Neodiprion lecontei: one gene and its partners. The protein of the gene in region 1 binds, or shares a complex with, the protein of each later gene. Links are inferred from orthologs where the notes say so. Each region holds a gene or a part of one and is shown in the gene's direction. Other genes may lie near its edges.

Region 1 (10,041 bases):
CCACTGTATTACTCCTAAGGAACATTTAGCATATAAATCATATATTCTAACCCCAGTATCTGAAGCCCAAGCTACAAATTGACCAGCCCAGGATATGGATCGTACACCACCTTCAGCTTCACATAAAACTGTAGGTTTGATCCGCGATAAAAATGTCTTTTCATATAAAATTAGTTTACTGTCACCTGAAATTTTGCAATGTAGGAACTATCAGCATCAGATATGTTGTCAAACGATTGAGTTGAAAGAAGTTGAAAAACTCAGATAAAAATGAAATGCTGCATTACCCGTTAGGAATCTTCTACCGCTTCCATTTTTGTAGTAATAAGGGTCAAGCGCAATACTTTTGACCAATCTTTCCATGCTCATGTTGTGGTTATTCTCCTTGCTATATAGACCATATATAACAACCTTTCCATCGTCGCTGCAGGATCCAATGAAATCTCCATTCTGATCTATGGATATTTGATTGACGGCAACGGTATGGGCTTGAAGAGTTTTGGATCGTATTCTGTTTCCTTGGTGATCCAATATATGGATCATTCCCCAATGCGAGCCCAGGCAGAGAAACTGAAAGTAGCGGTACGTTAGGACTCTCTGTACCCTAACCTGACCTCGATGCGTACTCGCACATTCTACTGCTTCGTGCGAAACAAAGCGAATGCGAGGAAGATAAATGAGAAGGAATCATCGCTGAGCGGACATGTGAGGAATATGAGGTATGACAGAAGAGGCGTTAATGGCACCTTTGGGTGAACAGCGATGCAGCTCGCGGCATCATTTTGGAGGATACTATCAAGATCATTTCTCATTCGGACGTATTTCAATCGTGGTTCAACCTCTTCCACATCAGAATCTGAATCATCTTGATTATGTTCTTGATCCTGAAAATAGAGGAAAGTAGTTTCAGCTTTAACTTTCAACTCACCACCCTCGATTTCGATACAGTTAATTGGGATTTTGTTTGTCCATAGAATAATAGGAGAAGATCGATTACGTCTACGTAAATCGGGAACGATAATTACATTATTTACACTATTATTCATCTGTGGTTAAAATTTTCAAATAATTTTTTTACGCAGTCACGTAGCAGCAGCAACACGCCAGAGAATCAAAATATTGGTCTTCGCATACATGGATGTGACACATACGAGTTTCGTGTGTACAGCACGCGAAGATGTGTCATTTGAAAAAAAAAAGGCACAGCAGGGATGGAAGGGGGATGACCGCTGATGACAGATCTATGATTACGTGATCCGACAGACGGTAAAAGCTGTTCCAAAATTGTCCCAGGCGATTTAACGTTCTCGACTATGGGTGCGTTTCGAAATTAACTGGCAGCGCTGAAATCTCGCTAGAATAGAGGCAGAGCCATCCACAGACTCGGCAGCAGAAGAGAGATAAAAAATTGTTAACAGCACTGAGAGCTAATATTTGAACGCACCCTATGACGTAGAAGATAAGGGTGTTTCTGCGCAACACTCTCCAAGAACCAATCGTGTGCCTGGACCATATAAAGGCCATCTTGCAGTTCAACCAGTGGCTTCAACCTTAGAGCATGTCACGGATTTAATTAAGCACCTCTTGTGATGTAAGCCCGTATAGCGCACTCACCCCCAACCCCATATGATCTTACGATTCACCGTTTGCAAACCTTTTCCTTGGATTTAATGTCGGTTGAGATTAGAAAAGCAATCACTCGGTTTTTACTGATTTTTAGTCACTTTAGATGCATATTTTACGAATTTACGGAGTATGTTTATAAAACGAAGGCTTATAGGTTTCGCTTGCCGCCCTTTTTTCTACATTTTATAGCGAAAATTTCACTTTTTTCCGTAAGAGGCGCTCAAATCGCATTTAGACAATTCCTCTTACGTTACCTTAAAACTGGGGACAAGTTTTATTGCAGAGTGTTGTCTCCTTCCTACTACTCAGTGGTAAGAATGAAATCGAAAATAAATGGAAGGATGGAAATTTTATTACCTATATTGTACATAAAACATAAATTAGAAGTTATAATTTAAAAATAGGAATAATACTAATAAAAACATTAAAATTAAGTGATTGAATATGAAATGCTGTTCATAATTTTTATTAGGTGACAAACATGAATAATGCACGCAAGTATATGCTGTATGATAATATACTGTTATATGGCTCACGGTCTTACCATAGATTTATAAAGATAGACTGAGCGCTCTTATGAGCCGCTTGAAGCAAACATTTAAAGGACAGAAATATGCCGGGAGTACTCCTTTCCCTCTCTAACGATATTTGTGGCGGGAATCGAGGCGGTAGAGGAGAATGAGGCGAAATTATGCACCTATATCTATAGCTGTTCCACTTCCACTGCTCCGTTGTCTCCCGCCATGACGCCGATTGAAAAGAGAGAGCAGTACTCCCAGTATATCTCTGTCCTTTATGTGTAATTGTCAGTGCCTCTTACAGGAGCGCTTAGTCTATCTTTTTAAGTCTATGAATCTTAGGAGTGGTCGATTCTAGCGGCACAACCAGTTGTCGCTGCGGTCTAGTTACTAGCAACAATAACGTGATAAAAACGCGTGAGTGAGCGAATGCCCATATACATATATGCGAAACCACGGTCAGCCCCCTGACAGACGCTCACGGTCTTACATACAGGCAACGAAGGTAATGGGGGTGGTTCATTTCACGGCCGGTTATGTATCTCACTTTGTGGCCGCCAGGCCAGCGTTGTGATCGAGAGATAGATAATCAACGCGTGCGCAATGCAGCGCCAACGTAATAATAATATTGTTATTGGCACATTTTTATCCCTACCATCCCTACCCCACGTACATCCCTAGATAGCAGCGCTGCGACATGGCTATTTCAAACACTAAAAACCACGGACAGCAAGAGAACCACGCCGCTCTGTAGAAAATTGGCTTCGTTGCCAGACCTGTATGTAAGACCGTGCACACGCTGCTAAAAGTGGTTCGCAAAATGTCCCTCGATTCTGCCGCCAATCTCCACCACTGGTGGCGCTAGTAGTTGTCTAAAAAGCTTGCGTGCGATCAGCGAGCGAGCGAGCGTGTCAAAGGTCTACTAGCGCCACGTAGAGGAACTAAAAAAAGGGGACAAAACGCGTACAATTTTTTAGTATACGAGCAGTGGTGAGTGTCAGGGGCTGTCTGAGACTGTTATTAACAGAAGATGTCAAGATGGCGATGACGTCTCGCAGTTTTCGGTTAACCTAATCACGACAACAAATACGTAATTTTATTATTCAAGAATTGTACATACGGTTTATTCGCGTTAAATGTTGTTAAAATGAATCAATGCATGGCGTCGATTTTTCAGCAATTTTCGAAACGTCGTGTTGACCCGCCTAAGGTACTGTGAAATAGTCTCAACCGATGTATTGATCCTGTCTCAATACGTATGACAGGCTAAAAGTATCACTAATTCGAAACTCGACAGGCTGTATTTACCTTTTGATTAATTATGCGCAATCCTCTATCGACGAGAACAATGGAGACTAAGGTTACAAGCAAGACTAGCAGCCTCAAGGCTCTGCTATTAAGGGCTTGGCGTGAACGTTGGAACGACTTACAATGGGGAATCAATATAAAAACTGTACGTACCGCTGAATTCTGGTAATCAAACGGCTGTGAAAATTTCACATTTGACTTAAATTTCACTTGTTATCAGATTTTACCAAGAGGTGTAAGCGGAGATGTCTACAATTTGGCAGATTGCATTCTGCAGCAGGCTTTAGTGGGCCCCGGACCAAATCAACTGGTGTTATCGTACTTAAAACATTCGCTGAGCTCGCAGGTTTGCCCGTTTCTTTTTCTCCTCAAATTCGAAAGGTGATATTCCAAAAATCTGCTGACAATAATACATCACATTTTTCAGTTAGTGTCTTACGCAGCTGTTCTACAAAGGATAAGCAAATACGGTGCATTTCACAAGCCGCACTGTATCATAAGCCTGTTAGAATTTCTTGAAACAATTCAAGTCGGTATAACCTGTCGAGGAAAGCCGGAGGAAGATTTATTAGCTGCCTCTGTACTTTCAATAGTGCATTGGTTGCTGCTGTGTTATCTCCACGTGCTCAAAATACCCCAAAATAATCCATCACTCACCTATCCCACGGATTTGATCGATAAACCGGCGAGCATTCTGAAACAGATGATTAACTCCGACTTCCTCTGTGCCATGATGTGCCTAGCTAAGCATGATGATAAAGGTAGAACAGATTGAGATTTGATTTTGGGTGTAGAAATATCTGGTACCCTGTAGAAATTAAAACTTTCATTATTGTCTTTTTTCAGAACTTTATATCGAGGTGGTGAAAAAGTGCCAGGACATAGAATCTCTTCAGAAGAATAGTACAGTAAAGTCTGCAGTACCAATTGAGAGCTCGTTGAAACAGCTTTGCAACCTTGATATAGAAACATTGGCTTCGCATTCCAAGAACAACAAAAAGGAGCCGATCACTTATTGCTTGCAACCATTATTCGCTGTTCAAGTCTTGCTTAATCCAAGCACCGAAACCGCAGTTCTGGTCAATCAGCTCCTGATGATACAGAGAATCAAGGGATACTCCAACGCCAAGTTGTATTCGGAAATTATTCGCGCCTGCTTCATGTGTCTGCACGACGTAACCGGAACTTCCAAAGAGTCGCTATGGGGTGCTTTTACGTTTTTGAAAGTACCACACATTTTGAAAGAATTAAACGTAACGACTTTCAGCGGTGAGAGAGCATTTTCTGTATACCGTATTGTTCCGAGTATAAGCTGACCCCAATTCCGAGACAGTATTTCAGGGTGTTTTTCTTAGTTACCCACACATAAAATGGGTCTATGTATAAGACGAGGAGGATGTTGCCAGGTGCTATCAACGACAAAATTCCTTGGCTTATATTCAGAACAATACCGTATAATAATACAGGATTGCATTTTGATGGTAATAATACTCGCATTTCTCTCGATAGGTGAAGAGAAGTTGGAGTACTCCCAAGACATCTTGGACGCCTTTGAATTGCTGCTCCAATTTACTCCTCTGCTTGATATCATGGACACGGCTTGTTCCTGTAATTGCATCGAGTGCCTGCTAAACGAATTACAAAAAGTCAATTTGGTTACTGAGAAACAGGCGAAGCAGCTTAGCAGCCAACGGTAATAATTTTTATAACAGGTTCAAAATGCTCTGCAGGGACAGGGTGCTGTCTTTCGAATAGAGCTTTGGCTTAATATTATGCTGTTATCGTACTTTTCTGCATACTGGTGTTTCTATTACTCTTATTTTCTTTTTTTCTATTCTATGTACTTGCGCTTGTCGGCGTCACCTATTTCTCTACTGCTAAAATTTTATAAGTGGGCCAAAATCCCGTATAATATGAATAAATAAATAAATAAATAAATAAATATACAAATATGTAAATATAAACAACATTCCATGGTTGACGGAATTTTCACTTTATTGTTCTGTATTACAGAGAAGGTGTAACTGCAGCATTACAGAAATTAGAACCATCAGAAACTCCCAAGCCATCAATTCCAAAAGTAATAATTCGCGCGGAACCAACTCTGGCTGGAATTCTGAAGACTCTCAATACAGATTATACGAAAATTCAGGAAGCACTGCTGAGCATGCTGTGCCAGGTACTGACTGGAAAGAGTTTCGAATTAATCTTGGCCGTTGCAACTGTCGAGGGAAAACTGAAAACCTTCGTCTCTAAACTGATAAAGTTCAACGAATGTAGTAAACAAATAAACGATGCTGTGACAGGGAAAATGGCTGCGACAAGAGCAATGCTTTTTGATGTTTCGTTTCTAATGCTCTGCTCTATCGTTCAAACATACGGATCTGAAGTGAGCTTGCTGATACTAAAACATTGAAATCCAAATCCTCTTGATTTTGTCTCAAATTTCTCTCTCCTGTTGGCTATTCAGGTGGTTCTTGAAGAAGACGGTGATTCGTTCTTTGAACAATGGGTCCGAGAGTGTATGGCAGAACGAAACAAGCCCAAATGCCCGCGTCGGATGCTCCAAAACGTTGACGCAGCTCGAGTGGACACGTTACTTGCCCAAATCAATTCCCCGGATCCAGACTTTAAGTCTAGTAACATGAAATGGCACATCGCTTGTCGCTCGGCCATGGGCGCTGTCAAAGAGCTTCTCTGCGCCTGGGAAAGTGGAGCACTCGGAGCTGGCGATGTGAAACGCGCCTTGGACGGCCTGAGAGCAGCGGCCTGCTGCTTGCCGGTATGTGCAGCAGCCTGGCTCTGCGCTCACGTCAGCATAACGCATCAAGATGCGCTCTTGAAGCCCATGAATATGGTTCAACAATTCCTGACTCCTATTTCCAGTGACGAGATGCAGGATAATTTCAAAGAAAGGTAAAATTGCGTCGATTATTCACGTCGACTCAAGGTGATTCGAAATTAAATTATCGCTTCCTAATTGATCAAACTCTTTCAGATCAAGCCTAATGTGCCAAATAATACGTAAAATGCAGTACGACGTTCATCCTCCGACGCAATCCAAGACAAAGGTGCTTTCAATGTCGCACAGGTAATTATGAAAATTTTTTTAGTTATTAACCTAGGTCTTGTTAAATCATTTCATTTTAGTATAATATCGCGGCAGCCGATATCTGAGCAGTTGGAAACTGTGTGGCATGGAATACAGCAAAGGGGTTGGATCAACATCGAAGCTACTCAATCGCTAGAATCTTTGTTGAACACCGGCGGTTCGCTGTGGTTCGTTTCGAATTTGGTCAAAGAAGTAATGAAGTACAGATACCAAGAGGAACTGGATCAGGCAGTGGATTTGACGTTTGCAGTATTTCACTTGGACATTGAAAACTGCACCTTGGACCTGCTGCATCACGTCATACCTCAGTACCTCTACAATAGATCGCAGTGAGAATTTTGTGCCAAATATTTTGCGGCTTTCGATTGCTCAACTACTCCAACAAAAGCGGGAGTAAAATAATTCCAAATTTCAGGAGAGAGGAGCTAGTCGAACCTCAGTCTTCTGTACTGGCGAAGCTGTGCGTTTCGTGTATCTATTCAACCTTGGAGTACAACAACTCGAACCCACCCAGAGGAAACAGTCGTAAGCGTGCAAGGTGCGAATTAGACAGCGAAGAATTAGATGCGATCGGTGTGCCGGCCAACAAAATATTGAGACTGAACGAAACGGGGGACTCGAGTTCGATATTTGACACGAGCTCTCCTCAGGCTCAGGGACAACCTAACGGGCAGAAGTCTATTCGCTTAAGAGAGCCATTGCTTACTGCGCTGAATATGTTGTTCAAAACTTTTACACTACTCGCTGGGAAGGATGGCGAAGTATCACAGCAGACGCATTTCATCCTACAATTTCTACGGTTCATCGTTCAGTGCGGCAAGGACAGGACAAAAATCGTTCTACAAGGAATGCCGCAAACTTTGGTAAGAATAGGTCATACGAAGTGAACCAAGTTTAATTTCCAGAGTTATTTCGTAAACCGAACGATATTCTTCTTTTAGGTTCCATGTTTGCTCAAAGCGCTGCCCGAGTTATTTACGACTGATTTATTACTCAAGTTGTACGATATTCAAACAACAGCAGGACGAAAAGCCACTGCGAGAGATTTATGCATGCTGCGGAACATAAATCTGAAGCCTGTAAAGTAGAATATAAGCACAAAAATGACCTGTACATCCTGTTACGTTTGTAATTATTATTTTTTTTTTTTTTTTAAATTAAGTTTAGTCTCTATCGATCGAAAATAATTACTTTCCTAGTAATTCGATTACAAAGAAATTGATGCCAAAAAAAAATCAATTTTTTTAAAACTTACTTAAAGTACCTATAAAATTCTTTGTTTTCTGTTCCTCCTACAAATTGCTAACTCTACTAAGTTATCTGAGCGAGTGCAGCATCCATTTCGTTCGGTTCCATGTTCCTCATAGAATCAATCATGTCCTGGTGCCTTCTCGATTTCTTAAGTCTCATATGTAGTCTATCGTATATTTTCTGCATTCTGTCATTGTAGCGCGATTCTTCTCTCTCCGCATACTCTCGCATGTACCTGTCATATTCTGCCTGCGATATTTACAAGTGAGAAAAAAAAGTAAGCACCAGCATTTTAGCTTGAACCATAGACTGATGTGAAAAATCAAAGACCTGAGTCATGCACGGCATATTCGTCCACTTTTCTCTACGTTTTTTTAATTCTTCTTCATCTTCTTTGATTTGTTGTTGTAATTCTTTCTCCTCTATGCTCCTGTCTTCTTCCCTATCCTTAAGTTCTTGTCGTTGAATTTTATATTTTATCATGTATTCTTTTTCCAACATACTGGACAGAACTCTGCATTCCTCCCATTCGACAATTTCTGAATAACTCACCCCGCAGCAAGTCGAGCACGAAAATCGTTCCGCAATATTGGGATCAATTTCCTTCTAAATCATGTTACGTATTAAATGAGTTAAAAATTATTCTGAAATAGCAATTCTATAATTTCTCATTAGTTGGCTACCTTGTCTTCACGACAGCAGTATTTACAATTTCCACAACACTCTCTGCAGTATCCGTTGTCATATTTGATAGACAATTTTTCCGCAATATTTTCAGCAATGTAACGACCGCAGACTAAATGAACGAGATTCAGAGCGCACTGAATCGTGTTCGGACCACCTCTGCAGGTAATTATCTTACCTGAAAATTCATAATCCAATTTTAATCAATTTGTTTCCCCTTTTGCTGATACAATTCGTGGATGACAATTTATTATTACCATCCACGTGTACGTCATCGTCGATATATTTGTACTTCATGTATTCGGATCCTTCAATTTTGTATTTTATCAGCGGATGACACGTAAAAGTTCTTCCAGCACCTATATAATGCTTACGCAGCACCGGCACAGCATCTCCTATTGCGACTATCCACTTGTGGCTGTCCTCGAATTCTTTCAGCAGTTTACCAACCAATTCCGACTGCAGCAATTTATTATCTAGTTTACATCATTCAAATCTTACAAAATTTTATGTCTTACCTCTCCAAGCGATTTAGCTCCTAACAAACCGCCAGGTAGAACAACCACGTCGAACGATGGTTCTCTCAAGGCATCAGAAAGCGCTGCGTCTGCATAACAGAATATGTTACTGTTACCCCGTATGCAGTCTGAATCATCCAGACTTGCGATTACAACACTGATCTGGAATCAATAGCCAATTGAAGGTCTGCTATATTTTTAAAGTAAAGAAGTACGACACTTAATTCAGAGTTAGTCTCTCACCCCAGCCCTTCGCATTATATCGGCCATTTGAACTATTTCAGAAATCTGTGCATCTTCAGGCATAATGATCAACGCACGCTTTCCATTATCATTGAAATTGTCCAATTCAAGCTTCTTGTTGTCCGTCGACTCAATCACCTCTACTTCTTCGTCACTTATCATATTGTCGATTTTCAGTTCTTTCAGTTCATTCATTTAAATTATGTGACTGCTCGCTTCTCTGTATTTTTTTTTTTTGACACAGTATTTTTTTCTTTGCAATAATTCTCAGTCCCGGTTATTTTTTCCATTGACATAATTTTTGGGTAAATGCGAAATACGAATATAACATCGTTTATATAAATTTTCACAATAATCTGTCTATACCAAAATTTTGACTGTGTGTTTAAAGCGAAGACTGCCGAGATATGAATAGCTTTCCTTTATTTATTGATTCATTCATATTTTTCATACATAAAATAACATCTCTTATAATAATGAACGATCAATAGAATAACAAAAAGTGAAGTAACAGATAATTAATTTACCCAATCGCAGAGTGAAGGCATCAGCAAAATAATACGTAAACACGACTATTTTCACTTGTTTCATTTTTGGCCTTTGAATAAAGCAAAGCGATTATCAAATATCAATTTTGCACGTGTATTTTTCACATTGCAGGATGACGCATGTGAAGTTTTAAACAAAACTTTCTGGCTTGCTGAGTCTACTCTATGATCAAACTTAAATCCTAGTAAGAATGCTGAATAAGGATGTCAGACGGTTGGGACATTGGAAGAAG
Region 2 (6,067 bases), on another chromosome or scaffold:
AATAACAGTCAATAATTCAACCAACTAGGCACATTAAGAGGAGAGGACACCCATCTTTTCAAATACGCACGCCTTAGTGTTATGGGAGCGATAAATCGATTTTTTTGCAAAGAATACGATTGTGATAAAATGAGAATTATAAAAAAAAATATTAATCGCTTTGGAATTTTTTTTTCTGCCAAATTTGAGTATTGTAAAATCCATCTGCAGAAGTTTAAAGAACACAGATTTACATTTGGTAAAAAATACAAGACTCAGAAAAACAATTTTTACCATTTTTGAAGCATGTTTTTCGAAAAAAGAAAATCCTTTTCAGCTTGAATAGTACTCTAAAGATCTATTTTCATAAGATTTGACGATACTCCAATTTGGTTGCGGAAAAAAAAATTCGAAAAGGGTTAAATTTTTTTTTTTTGTTTCAATCATTTTCTCTTTATCTCCAACGAATTCCACGCAAAAAACAGCACAAGAAATAAATTTACCGTCCCTCTAACACTAAGACGTCATGTACCTGAAAAGTTAGGTGTTGAACAGATAAATTGAAGCTCACGTTTCAATAACCGCATTTGAAACATTTTCAAACTGGCATCTCACGGTTGGATCACGGACAGGATACGTGGTATTGTAAAAATATGGACCCCACAACCAACTTTTTTCTTCTCTATTTGTCATGACAAAATAATAACAGCCAGTAAATATATCGATAAATGTACCATTAGCAGGCACACCTTTCTGAAATAGAAAGATATGTTGAAAGAAAAACAAAATACAAACCAAAGAACCTAAGATCTTGTACTAATGACTTGTTGTCTACAATGAGCGTTTAAATTAATATCGACTGTTACATATACAGCTACTCAACCTAAATTACCCACTTTTATAGACAATGATGAGTCCTTTTTGTTAGGCATATTTTGCAACAGATTAAAATCTTTTCTAGGATCACAAGGACATTCCTTTTTATTCTTCACATGTGGTTTCGCTAGTAGAGTAAGTTTGAAATTTTCTCGTGGCTTTGATACCTTCCAATCAATTCCTTAAGACAAATATAAAAATAACAAATTTTATCACTATATGAGATGAAACATGTCAATAGTGAATCATTAATCAAGATATAATTCGTATATTCGCCAATACGAGTGGCAATTATCTACTAAAAAAAATGTCTTACCAGTAAAATCAGGAAAATCTTGGAATAGTGTGGACCGTTGGTGTTGAAGCCAACTAGGTGGCTGAGATGTCTTGGATTCATAGTCACACTGATTATTTAGGCTCGGCTTTGCCAAACTGAATTGATTGTCAATTTTAAGATTCACACACTTACGATGTGGTGGACTGAAGTTCCACTCTCGCCAAGTCTAAAACAAGTAATCACGTCTGTACAGAAATATTTATAAATTTGGTCGTTACAGCTGTTGGCAAAAACGAATTACGGAAAAATATTTCACATCCCTGACAACCTATTAGATGCAGTATGAAATTGATTTGACCATAATTTATATACCCGATATCATGATAAATTACTGAAAAGTAGAAATACTAGAGAACTATACTGCATCTGAAAATTGTCATCTTGTGACACAACTATTGGATATAAACTTAGTAAATAGAATTTATAAATTAAAATGTAAATAATACGTTATTTTGTCCGGTTTCGTTGCCGCATTCTACATCGACGCACAAACGAAGAATTATCCAAAAAATCCAAATAAAAATAGTCAAATTTCTCTCACTCATGTTTCCTTCACGTCGGAACAGCAACTGAACCTTCAGAACTGTATCGTACTGAATATTTATCATTTTTCCGCCAACGACTACGAGGAAATTCATGGTGTACAATGAAACCTGGTTTGTCCGACCTTCGATCAACCAAGTTTCACAATATGAGGCAACGGACTTATTCGAACACTGTAACATCGAGGTGTGTGATCGAATACAGTACGCATATGCCGTACGTGCGAAGTATTTTGCGATTGCTACTTTGTTGCTTATATGTAGCAACAATGCTTTGTTCCCCAGAGATTGATCTACGTTCCTTAGAGTTTCACTTTCATGTACCTTTGTGTTTAAATTTCATTCTACCATATCAAATTCGTAAAAAATCATTCAAATCTTCACATTTTTCATTTCTTCCGTGTTATGCCAGTTTTCGCTTATCCGAGATACCTCCTCCCCACGTTACCTCGGATAAACGAGGTTTTTCTCTACGGTGAAATTTCAGGACTAGAAATATTGTCCGTTATTGAGGAGTGTCCGATATTCAGAACAATATTAACGTGTAAATCATGCTTCTGGAAATTTTTAGATATTTTTACGACATTTCGGTACGTTGTAAAACGAGTTGGGTTTAGGCGCGCGGAATATATCTAATTTTGGAACGGACGTTATGAAATAAAAAAATAGGATATACGTATATCGAATTGCTTCACCGGTATCAGCTCCAGATTATGGAGATTTTTTTATCCAGATAAGGTCGGCGTTTTTTGGATTTCAACCTTCTTAAATCTTCTTTATACACAAACAAAAAAAGAAAAACAAGAAGTAGAATGAGATCATTGGTTTTGAGAATCGAACACCAGATATCATTTTTCATACATCCGTTCCGAAATGTCGTACGTGTGTTAGCACGCATATGATCGACATGTGTACGTGCTGAAGTCAACGTCAAGTCAATGGACCACGGCGGTGAGGCAGGGAAGCCGATAATATTTCGAGAGCCAGACATAAACATTGAGATTAAACGGGTGACGAATCGAATGCGGTGGGTCTAGAGAGCGGGTGTCAAAGGGACATTACGCAACGACGCCTCGGAGAGTTCACACCGATTGAATACCGTGCATATCGAGCATTACTATACTTACGCGGTTGCAAAGCTTCAATATACTTGTATTCACACATTTAACGTAGAATTTTAAGAAGTATTCCATTGAATATTACAATGTACATTTAATACGATTGACATTGTAATGTATTCGAAAGATAGCTTCGTTATCCTATATATATTATTTCCTACAGTGCAAAGTGTGTCAAAGACGATGGGGAATTTTTTGTTTTACATGTTCACGCAAAACTTCGACGATAAATCAAAAGAACTGGTATTTGGGCTTGTGGTCTCATTTTCATTTTTGAAAGACGCTAATCAATATCTCGATATACAGGAAACTCGATTATAGGTTATAAAGTAAGAATTTCAATTAATAAACTGTAAACAAGTTGTAAATTGAACATTTGATCGTACCCATGATCGCGCCATATGAGGCATGCCGATAATAGAAGATTCGTATTCAACGCGTACACGTGATCCGTCACTGCTTTATTAGCATTCCTATTGGTCAAGAAGTCGGCAGCAAAATGCTGTGATTGCTTCGTGGTATTTTCCTGCTCGTGAAAACCTAGTCTAGATCAACGCCAACGAGAAGTGAATACGAAAATGTAGTAAGCAGTGTACATGCGTTTTACTGTTTTAATTATGTTTCATAAGGCTCTCTCTGCCAAACTCTAACAATAAACCAAATCTGACACCCGTTGAAAACGCGTTCTCACTGGGCACTGGCGGGAAGGCGAAAAACGAAACTGTCAGGATCATGGTGGCAGTGTGGTGCTGCGTCGGTAAGTATGTGACTTATAATATCGATATATGCGTCGTACAGATTGTCGTGAGAATGGTGATAGTGACAGCAGCGCAACACGAGCTGATATAGTCAAAAGTCAAGAGTAACGAGATATGATGTGATAATGTACGTAAATTTACTTCAAAAAACAAAATATGCATCTGCTACATCTGGTTGATTATTAAACTTGTGTACTTCCTCTCTGGCAATACCATTGCGTTTGGAAAAGTCCGTTGTTGATATTAGGTGCATCGCAAAAATGGCGGATCGTCTAACCCAATTGCAAGACACCATAAATCAAGTAAGCTTGCCGTAAAATCAATTAGCCGGCAAACTCATCACGATAATTCGATATTATTATCCTTACAGCAAGCTGAACACTTCTGCAACAGTGTTGGGATCTTGCAACAATATTCTATGCCTACTAAATTTCCGGGATTTGATAGAATTGGAACGCCACAACCTCATCAGACACAGGAAGGTGAGTTTCAGTAATCATTGTTTGTGATCATTCAGTTCACAAAGCATATTTTGGTTTGACTTTTTTAGAATATGCGACTCTATTTGCTACGCTGATCGCCCGATGCGCCAAAGATATTGATACATTGATAGAAAGCCTTCCGAGTGAAGATTCTTCTCAGGAACTTCAAGTAGCTAGTCTGAGCAGACTTGAACAAGAAAATCAAGATGCTGCGGAACAGCTAGAAGAAACTGTCAGACAGGGTGAAGCTTTGCTTCAAAGAATTCAAGCAGCCCTCCAAGACATTGCGCAGAGTCAGCTGGACATGCAAAATCCTGCTGCTCCCACAATTATCAATACAAATTTAAATCCTCATATTAATTTTAAACAGGAAAACTTTGGTACTATCAATACAATTCCTTCAAGTAATTCACATCAACCACCAGATCCATCGCCGAACTCTATGAGCCAGTGATATGAATTTTGTCCGATTTACATTTAAGAAACTTTAGCCATTATCAAATAAACATTTTTCTAAATGCCTAAGCAGAGCTTATTCATTCTAGACATATCTTTTAAGAGAGAAATCTCTCAAGAGAAGCAGTATCATTAAACAGATCGCTAACTAAAAAAATCTTGGTGACTAATGTCACAAGATTGGAAAAGAAAAATATAGATACATGTTCATAAAGTTCTGTAAATTCATTCAGGTAAAAATGGTTAGATAATTTACTAGAGTTTCATGATCAAAATGTTCGGCAACAAGAAATAAATTTCGAATAAAACATACCATTTTCCATTGGCTTTTTATAAAATGTTTACATGGGACTTTATTTACAAAAATATGAGAAGGGTGTGGTTGATTGAAGGGGGATGAACAGTAAGGTGACAAGAAATTAATTGAGCGTACCCCGACATTGGGGTGCGCCACACAGACACGGAATTTTATCATCCTCCAACGGAAACTTATAATCATAAGTAATTTCTTCGTTCACACCAATTGGTTGCTTGCTGTAGATCACAATCTTCTTCTGGCTTTCAATTGTTATTACTTTAGCATAACAATTCGGCTGTAACAAATCATTTACCATTATATTGCTTTGCAATAATTTAGAACTGAAGATAGTAGAAAAGCAAATTGAATTCCAAAGTCTTAAAGACTTAATCATCCATAAAGTGTCAACTATTCAAGCGAATACACTTAAAAATTAGGTATAGTTCAAGTAACAAATTGAACTCACGTTGCAGCTGTGATTAATGAATCTTGCCAAGTTACCACATTTCGTCGCATCGATAATAGTGTCAAGATCAATACGAAACAGATAAGAGCTACCAATGCCTGTAGCCTCGTACTGAGTTTCACGTAGATCTGCGACCACTGGTCTCACCATCTGTCCAACATATTCTATCACCATTTCATCAGCAGCGATTGGTTCCATTGCGAAAAGACCCCAATCGTGAATACCGGATTTGGCGAATTTCAGTTGCTTCTTTCGGAACTAAGTAATAAGAAAGCCATTCAAAACTGAGTCACAATGTTCCACATAAAATACATGATAATCTGATTGACAGATGTAATGATACTCCAATCAATATTACCTTGAGCTGATTGAACTTCAGTAAATCACTGTCAGTGTCAATGCCAAAAGCTGTTAATAACCGCCGCTGATTACTTCTCGCCTCCCGTGATAAGGCCTGCATTTTTCCAGTTAATGCCTTAGCCTTTGTTTTTGGGCCATTCATTGTGCCGTCACCACCCAAATATGGTCCAGTACTATCCTCTATGTCATTACTGCGCTGTATGCTTTGAGCATAGTGATGCTAAAAATGAGAAAATAAAACAAAGATAACATAACTTTCTCTGCAAGAAATATAGTAACACAAACTTACTTTGTGTTTGGCTTTTTCGCGTATATCAACTTTGTAGTAGCCTTCTGTCCGAGCGCTTCCTGTAGAATGTAATCGTAACTCGTCTCGTTTTTTCCTTTTAGCAGGA
Region 3 (7,707 bases), on another chromosome or scaffold:
AATTTCTTTTCCGGAAGCTCGTCCGACGCATAGTTTTTGAATTATAAGCGATAGCGCTAGGCCAATCAGAGTGCACCATTTCATCTAGATTTGCCACCACGGAAATTGCTGTTTTGTTCGTCTGGGTGAATTATTATTATTCGTTTATGAATTAAATATCGGCACCTCCCCTCTCTCGCTGCTGCACCCCTTATGCTTGAGGATGCGCTTCTGTTTACACACACAAGTGTGCGCCCATGGATGTGCGGCCGGCAGCGTGTGCCCCGGCAACCATACCGAGGTCAGCGCCCGAGAAGGGGTATAGCAGCGAGAGAGGGGAGGTGCCGATATTTAATTCGTAAACAAATAATAATAATTCACCCAGCGAACAAAACAGCAATTTCCGTGGCGGCAAATCTAGATGAAATGGTGCACTCTGATTGGCCTAGCGCTATTGCTTATAATTCAAAAACTATGCGTCGGACAAGCTTCCGGAAAAGAAATTCTCGGTTGGATTTTAACGAGGTATTATGCTGGCTAGTCCGTGGGAGGCAATTTAGGGACACCCTGTATACATACATGCGTGCATACAATACAACATCTATCATCTATATATTATATTATCTGTAAAATTTTGACTTCGTCGAGAATCGATGACAGAGAACTTTATTAAATCTTGATCTCTAGTATCTGCAGGTGTGTGTATACATCGTAAATATACTTGTTTGCTTGGTATTTGCTAAACACTAAAGTACCTTCATATGTATATAGATTATAAATCTGCAGTTCTACCACAGTATAATTGATAAAAATGTCAAGTTCGAATTTGCAGTAACTAGACGCATGGATATTATATGTCAAGGTATAATATAGTAATGTATGTGGTTAATTTGGGTCTAAATCAGTCTACTCTGGTATATACATATATTTAGAAACATCATGCGTAAAGAATAAATACAGTTGAGTGTGATTTTGAGAAAATGATAAGCTATGGATAATATCAAAGAAAATATTATTACATAACACTTAGCATATGGTACAAAATTCTAATATATGACAAACACGGTTGCTCTGATTCATACATATATTGGATGTGTGTACACATATTTATATACTAAGGTGTTTTAAGCAAACACAAAAAATTGATGATCCACCTTCTACCTGTCAACTATGCTGTTTACAGTGTACAATTAAACTTTTCATACTGTAAGGCGCAGTCGAAATTTCAATTGACTGTAACTTTGTTGTTGTAGTTTTTTTTCCCAATCTAATACCATATATAATACACATTACTGTAAAGGAAATTTTTTTAAACATCGCTACACTTTCTATAAAAACCGAACAAAATCATTTGTTGACGAGAAATTGTTCAGATTTTCGATACATCGTGAGTAGTTGAAGGGGAAAAAAAAATATATAGTACGGATTATTTTCTTATAAACCCTATTATATTCGTATTTAGATACCTACCTGTACATGTATACATCTGTATAGAAAGGAATCTGATTCTTCGAGTGTTGAATATTTGTTGAGCAAAGTGCTTTTTGATTATAAGCAGAAACGTGTGGAAATAACAATTATAAATTTTAATGCTGAGAATACATAGCGTGAAGTTTGTTTTTATTACAGCACCCGTATGTGTAGTAATAGTAATAATAGTGCATTATTGTAATGCATATAGTATGTATACCTATATGTATGTACATACCTATGTATACGCGTGTATAACTGGCGAGTGTGTTGTACGTTTGGATTTCTGCAAATTGATCATTCGTAATATACATAACTAAACTGCTGTGAAGTAATTACTAATTAACAAACCACATAGATTTATTATATACGTATAATAAGCCATCTCACAATATTAGATAGATGATAAAGTAAACAATGTATGTGTTGATATGTATCGCGAATATTTGCATGACCCATCGCGCGTCATGTAAATATTGTGCGTATTTAAACGACACGTGTGCAGCGTGGTGGGTGCGTGGCTGAACAGAAGTAATAAATTATATGAAAGTGAAAAACTATGGCCGTGCTCTTCGTATTGCGATGTATATTTACGTTATACTCGAATCAGATACACGTGTACGAAGGAAACCCAAGAGCACATGAACCAAAAAGTGTGCAGATCTTCATTGATCATTAAAGAGACGGTCTATTGTTGTCCAACAACCGTTATACATTTCTAATCATGAATTCGAATCCCATTGTTGATTTTTTATTTCTGTTACGCAGTTTAAACAATGCATGTGTAAGTTTCTCTGAATTTCCTCACAAAGATAATAGAATTTCGAAATTGTAATCCCCCAAGTTACTCGATGGTACGCTGCAATCGCCATGTGTCCTTACCTGGTATACCATTGATCAATATTGCCAATTTGAATGCTTCAGAAATTCAAATTTTACTAATTATTCTATACAAATCTTATTTAGTGTTGAATTGCTTGATGTATACTCCTGCTAAAGACACCATTTAGATTTGTTTTTAAATCGAAGCATACACATTTGTAATAAAACGACATACCCCTATGACTAGTACTTTGTGCCTCGTTGCGCTTATTTATCGTAGTCATGATTATGGTTGATATTTTTACCATTATTAATATTATTCAAGCTGTCCATGAGGAAAACGTAATAACTACGTCGTTTCAATTATAATTATAATATGAGCGTATGTTATGTTATGATATCTAATGTATGTAGCGACGGACGAGGTAACAGGATGTGCTATATAAATATTATTATGTGAGGGTGAAAAAATGACAATTGGGTGCAAAAGATTATTAAATCTCAAAGAGTGTATTTGTTATAACAATGATTTCAATGTGGGTTGTCTGGTTATATCAGAGAGTATAATTAATATTTATGCGCCTATATTATGTAAAGTTTTGTACGATTTGGTGAATATAATAATAATAGATAATGGTTTACTTGTGTACGCCGTAAAAACGGGTTTGATGATAAAATGATAATTGTTTCGTTACAGGTGCAGGGGTGTGGTAAAATTTGGTATAGTCAACGTCTGGGTGAAAGTATAATATTGTGTGGTTAAATTATTCGTTCAAGTACACAAAGAAATCAATGATACGTATAACCATGGTTATACTAATTGGCAGAAAGATATTCGTAACAGTCTCATTTGACTATCATCGTAACATAGTTATTCATTTCTGGATGGCATTTCAAAATTCACCCTGTGAAAAAAAGCAGCCATTTACGTTACACCTGTAACTATTTAATATCAATTCGAGTCTGTCGCAAGGGAGGATGCGACGATATTGACATAAGATATAACGATTTAAAACGAAATTCATGCATATAAACGCGTAAGTAGATACACACAATATATGTAGCCAAAGTTGACCAACAGTGTAAACAATTGTTATGTATATTTTATCACTTGTGTAATTACAAAGCGTATCAACATATATTTAATCTGAAAAACTCTACGGGGAGAACCACTCTATATACGCGTATACAAACGAAGAGAAAGATTAATTGAAATAGTTCTACATAATATAATAATGATAACAAGAACACAAGTAATTTACCATTATTCTAATCAAATTTGCATCAATTGTAATTGGAAACAATTATTATCCCATGATTATATATGATTTAAAAAATAAAAACAAAGTAAATATTGTATTTGAGATTAAATGAACCCTTATGTTTTAGTTTCATCTACATTACTGTGAACTATAACAGCATAATACGGATTTGTAAGATTTTTATATTCTTCCGTATTATTGTCAATGCTCTCTAAAAGTAAAAAAAAAAAAACGATTTATTGTGATATACAAGAGTAAACAGATTTTACATTTTTTGTAATGAATGGTCGCAAAATTAACTTGAAATAAGTGATACCTTCGGGAAAAACTGAGTCCCGGTTTAAAAAACTTTGGATAAGTAAGAGAATTGAAAATTCTACTTTTATGATAGATTATCATGTTGTTTGCACTCAAGAAGAAAATACAAATCAGGAGCTAATAGATACTAACTTTAAATTTGACGCATGAGCGACATCTAGTTCCACGCTGCGACTACTTGAGCATAGATGTCGACACTATCTCGAAAGCACGATCAGCTGTTCTATCCGGAAATTCTAGTGTACAGGTCAGTGATTCGAATGATTCTGACCAAGGTACGTACGTCTAAACGCTGACAGCGGCGGTAAATTGTAATAATTAATCCGATCATCGAAGTTCAAGTCCTCTGTAGAAATGCAAAGAGAAGAAAAACAGTTGGACTCTGCTCTGGAGGCGATCATTCTGCGAGTAAGTGATCTAAAATCTGCAATCGCCGGAATGCTTTACAAACTGGAGCACGAATATGAGACGCTGAACTGGCCAAATTTTCTCGATAACTTCGCTATTATTTCGGGTCATGTAAGTAGTTGGTTGAATTTCAATGATCACTTTCAGCCGAGATAACGAATAACTAATAAATAATAAACAATCGTAAACGTTGTTAATCCGCAGCTGACGAGTCTTTCGAAAATTCTTGGCCACGATAAGGCACCAAATATGAGAAATTTCACGATATTGCCACTGCTCTTGAGTCCGGAAAAGGATGAGGATCTGCTCCGAATGACAGAAGGTAGAATATCAACATTCGCCCACGATTTGGTACCAGACTATTTGAGAACAAAACCGGAGCCGATGGCTGAGCAGAAGATGAATCACCTAGAGCTCAAGGCTTCCAATCTCACTTTCGAAGCATCACAGGTAAATTTATTCATTCTGAGTACAGATGTATGCAAATTCTTTGCTGTTTCGACTTCCTTTGCGCTTTTGTCGATCACTCTGCTCCCCTTGCTCACAGTTCTATTTCACATGAAAAAATATTTGCTGATATTCGTGTAATTAATGAAAACAATTGTGTAATCTGAGAATCTTTCGGAAGCTGCTAGTTCGTAAAATTATCTTGACGAGTTTGTATCGAGAATATAATACATTGACCACAAAAACTACAGAGGTTATTCTATTTCTCTGTTGATATGCAAACTAAACAACAAGTAGGATTCCAATGTAAGCCACTAACCATAGTTGGTCAGAGATTTCATTTTTGTTCCATTCGCTCTAGACCGATGTCACCGATAAAGCAGATTATCAAATCGGTAACGCAAGCTGTGATTGGCAACCTTTTATCAGCTCGATGTCCTCCAAGTAATCGGTCTATCTGGCGATTGGAACTCACCACCAGCAGACGCTAAATCGTCGGTACTAACAGTAACATAATTGACTTTCAGAAACAAGTAGCACAGTACAACAAGGTGGTTAGTCATGTATGGGACATCGCATACAAGGCCCGAGAAGAATGGGAGGGCGAAGCTGGTGCCAGAGCTGCCCAGGTACAAACTAGCAGTTCCGCAGATACTCACACCTTAGTTGCTGCAATTGGCATGGGTAAAGGCCTTAAGGTAATTACTGATCACTCATCACAAACCTATTTCATCCATAGTGGGCACTTATTTATTATCATGTTAGCGATGCCATAGTCACTGATATTTCGCCCTAATAACAATTGTTTTCTTTAGTCTGATTCTGGACCGATGGCTCAGTCCAGAGTGAGTCCAGGACCACCGGGTATAATGGCTGGGAGATCTGGTGGCCAGGCACAAGCTGCTGGGCAAGGACAAATAGGAGGTGCACAGTATAAACATTACTTCTATTGCACGCTTCAAATTACTCTTGGAATTGTTGAATGTAGTTCAAATCCTGATAAAGAAACAGTATTTTGGATAAATAAATTTACCTTGTTTGCTATTGTTTTAAGGATAAATTCCACACTGATTAACAAGAACTGTGTACATTTAATGTTTTGCAGTGGGCCAAATGGGAAAAGCTCCAAGCGCAATCAAGACCAACATTAAAGCAGCTTCACAGATTCATCCATATGGACGCTAGAGGTTTAGTCGGGAGATTTTTGTACGCTTTTCTCAATTGAATGTCATATATATGAGGAAGACTATGAAATCCAGTATTGCATAGTGTTTTTGGTGAAAATATCCTTGTTTCCTATTATAAAAGTTTTATCAATTGACTCAAAGATTGAGGATAGAGTGAAGATGTGAATTGTCTTGAAGCTGATATTTCGTTTACATGGAAAGTTTCAGCCTTCTAGTTCAACAGAATTCAAATATTACAAAATGTATCGTTTCAGTGAGCATCTTTACTTTAATTATTCACGCTGTAGACTGCAGACGATGTACACTGACTCACATGTTACCTAATTAAAAATATAGGTGTACACACAAGTGCGCCAAAAACGTTCAATTTCATCATTTTTAAATATCACCTGCATTTCGCGAAAGTGAAAAAAGATAATACATTAATATTTTACACCGAACTTGTTATTGATGAATAAACTGCTCCATTCAAGGCAAATGAAGTATAATTTTCACGGATACCCGTCTTGTGCGTACAATCAGTTCATTCTAAAATCAACTTTACACTGGGAATTTTAGGAACGATGATAAAAATAAAGATTTTTCAATGACAAAGTGATTGACCAGAATATTATATCTATCTTTATTGACTTGTCAGATGGAAGGAGAATCTAACAGGCTTTATAGTACGATCTTTTATTCAACGCCTTAAGAATAATATATATCCTTTAACCTGAGTTATATCTTAAAATACGATACAAAAACATTTCAAAAAGTATTTACACTTCGATTACTTTTCACCATACGTACATCTACATACGTAACGTACTTGAAAACGACCTTAGTATAGTTCAACAACCATTTTGAATGTGACGCTCAAAATGTCATTCATTATATTCTAGCGTATTGTCGTATGAAAATATAGTCTATTATAAATAAAATTAAGTCACATATTCGTCACCTTTTGATCAACAATTGTCACTAGTTGAAACCCAGACCCATAAGTTGCGTCAATGTTAATTAAATAATTACATCAATGAAAATTTTCGATATAGACAAAATCTTTTAGAAACGTTCCAGGTGAGAAAATTAGAATAGCTTGATATCACTAATAGACAAGATCAGGAAAGCGAAAAAACAAAATTGAGAATAGTGTCAGATCAAATTGTTTCACTTTTTAACATGTGTGATCAATTACCGGAAAATTTCACTGCATAACACATGAAGTCTGAGTTTCATTGTTCGTCAGTCTTGTCGAACTATCATTTGATAAATTGACCACTCAACAACCAGTAAACTATAAAATTATTGAAGAATGTCCTTACCAGTTTTCTTTTTTTTTTATTTATTTTTTTTTTTCTTTAGAACTAAGGACTAAGTAGGGATCGATTTCGCCTAGCGTTAGGCGTGTAAAATCCCCGAGGATCTCCATATACAGGTTCAAACGCTGAGAAAGGTCTTAGCGATGTGTTTGCACTCCCCGGACTTGGAGTGCTAGTAACTTTGTTTCCACTTGGTGAAGTTGGCGTATACGTTTTCTTTATGGGCGGTGGACACTTTTCGGCTATTGAAAAAAAAGAAAAAATTAATTTTTCCATGCAGCACAAGGGTCGCAAAACAAGTATTGTGAACAACTGTAAGTTTAAGTAAATTAAGGCAGAAAAACTAAAACTTTATTGACGTATAAGACTGCCTTACAATACTTAAATCGATTTACAAGCAGCGGTTGAGGTAGTTACCGAAAATGGATTTATTTTTCACTGAGATGTTGATGCTCATCATTTTACTTCCATAGACTGAAAACATAAATGCATTTGAAAAGATGTAGATTAACA

What was found. Proteins that work in one complex are often made in the same cells at the same time.
Region 2: mediator of RNA polymerase II transcription subunit 24 (region 1) and mediator of RNA polymerase II transcription subunit 21 share a complex: the UniProt entries of both Drosophila melanogaster proteins name them as parts of the mediator complex. The link is inferred for Neodiprion lecontei from reciprocal best matches to the Drosophila melanogaster genes MED24 and MED21.
Region 3: mediator of RNA polymerase II transcription subunit 24 (region 1) and mediator of RNA polymerase II transcription subunit 8 share a complex: the UniProt entries of both Drosophila melanogaster proteins name them as parts of the mediator complex. The link is inferred for Neodiprion lecontei from reciprocal best matches to the Drosophila melanogaster genes MED24 and MED8.

The regions. Positions count from the first base shown.
Region 1 is NC_060263.1:14,885,093-14,895,133, reverse strand, and holds mediator of RNA polymerase II transcription subunit 24, read left to right. Parts: upstream 1-3,116; 5' UTR 3,117-3,234; exon of another isoform or gene 3,235-3,321; 5' UTR 3,322-3,465; coding exon 3,466-3,597; intron 3,598-3,672; coding exon 3,673-3,798; intron 3,799-3,879; coding exon 3,880-4,213; intron 4,214-4,298; coding exon 4,299-4,721; intron 4,722-4,961; coding exon 4,962-5,145; intron 5,146-5,465; coding exon 5,466-5,841; intron 5,842-5,922; coding exon 5,923-6,368; intron 6,369-6,450; coding exon 6,451-6,543; intron 6,544-6,602; coding exon 6,603-6,893; intron 6,894-6,979; coding exon 6,980-7,427; intron 7,428-7,505; coding exon 7,506-7,652; 3' UTR 7,653-7,930; downstream 7,931-10,041. Other genes in the region: vacuolar protein sorting-associated protein 41 homolog, read right to left, coding at 1-185, 288-570, 747-884, 1,026-1,046; Parkinson disease protein 7 homolog, read right to left, coding at 8,074-8,421, 8,499-8,677, 8,757-8,958, 9,018-9,179, 9,261-9,455. UniProt on the Drosophila melanogaster protein: Component of the Mediator complex, a coactivator involved in the regulated transcription of nearly all RNA polymerase II-dependent genes.
Region 2 is NC_060262.1:34,977,588-34,983,654, forward strand, and holds mediator of RNA polymerase II transcription subunit 21, read left to right. Parts: upstream 1-3,648; 5' UTR 3,649-3,737; intron 3,738-3,840; 5' UTR 3,841-3,870; coding exon 3,871-3,912; intron 3,913-3,980; coding exon 3,981-4,092; intron 4,093-4,160; coding exon 4,161-4,546; 3' UTR 4,547-4,617; downstream 4,618-6,067. Other genes in the region: uncharacterized protein LOC107218980, read right to left, coding at 551-732, 876-1,036, 1,172-1,358, 1,639-1,917; histone-lysine N-methyltransferase SETD1, read right to left, coding at 4,968-5,141, 5,313-5,570, 5,671-5,892, 5,962-6,067. UniProt on the Drosophila melanogaster protein: Component of the Mediator complex, a coactivator involved in the regulated transcription of nearly all RNA polymerase II-dependent genes.
Region 3 is NC_060264.1:26,415,276-26,422,982, reverse strand, and holds mediator of RNA polymerase II transcription subunit 8, read left to right. Parts: upstream 1-3,867; 5' UTR 3,868-4,205; coding exon 4,206-4,370; intron 4,371-4,463; coding exon 4,464-4,709; intron 4,710-5,003; coding exon 5,004-5,012; intron 5,013-5,233; coding exon 5,234-5,404; intron 5,405-5,521; coding exon 5,522-5,630; intron 5,631-5,811; coding exon 5,812-5,891; 3' UTR 5,892-6,257; downstream 6,258-7,707. Other genes in the region: nuclear pore membrane glycoprotein 210, read right to left, coding at 7,240-7,436, 7,612-7,668. UniProt on the Drosophila melanogaster protein: Component of the Mediator complex, a coactivator involved in the regulated transcription of nearly all RNA polymerase II-dependent genes.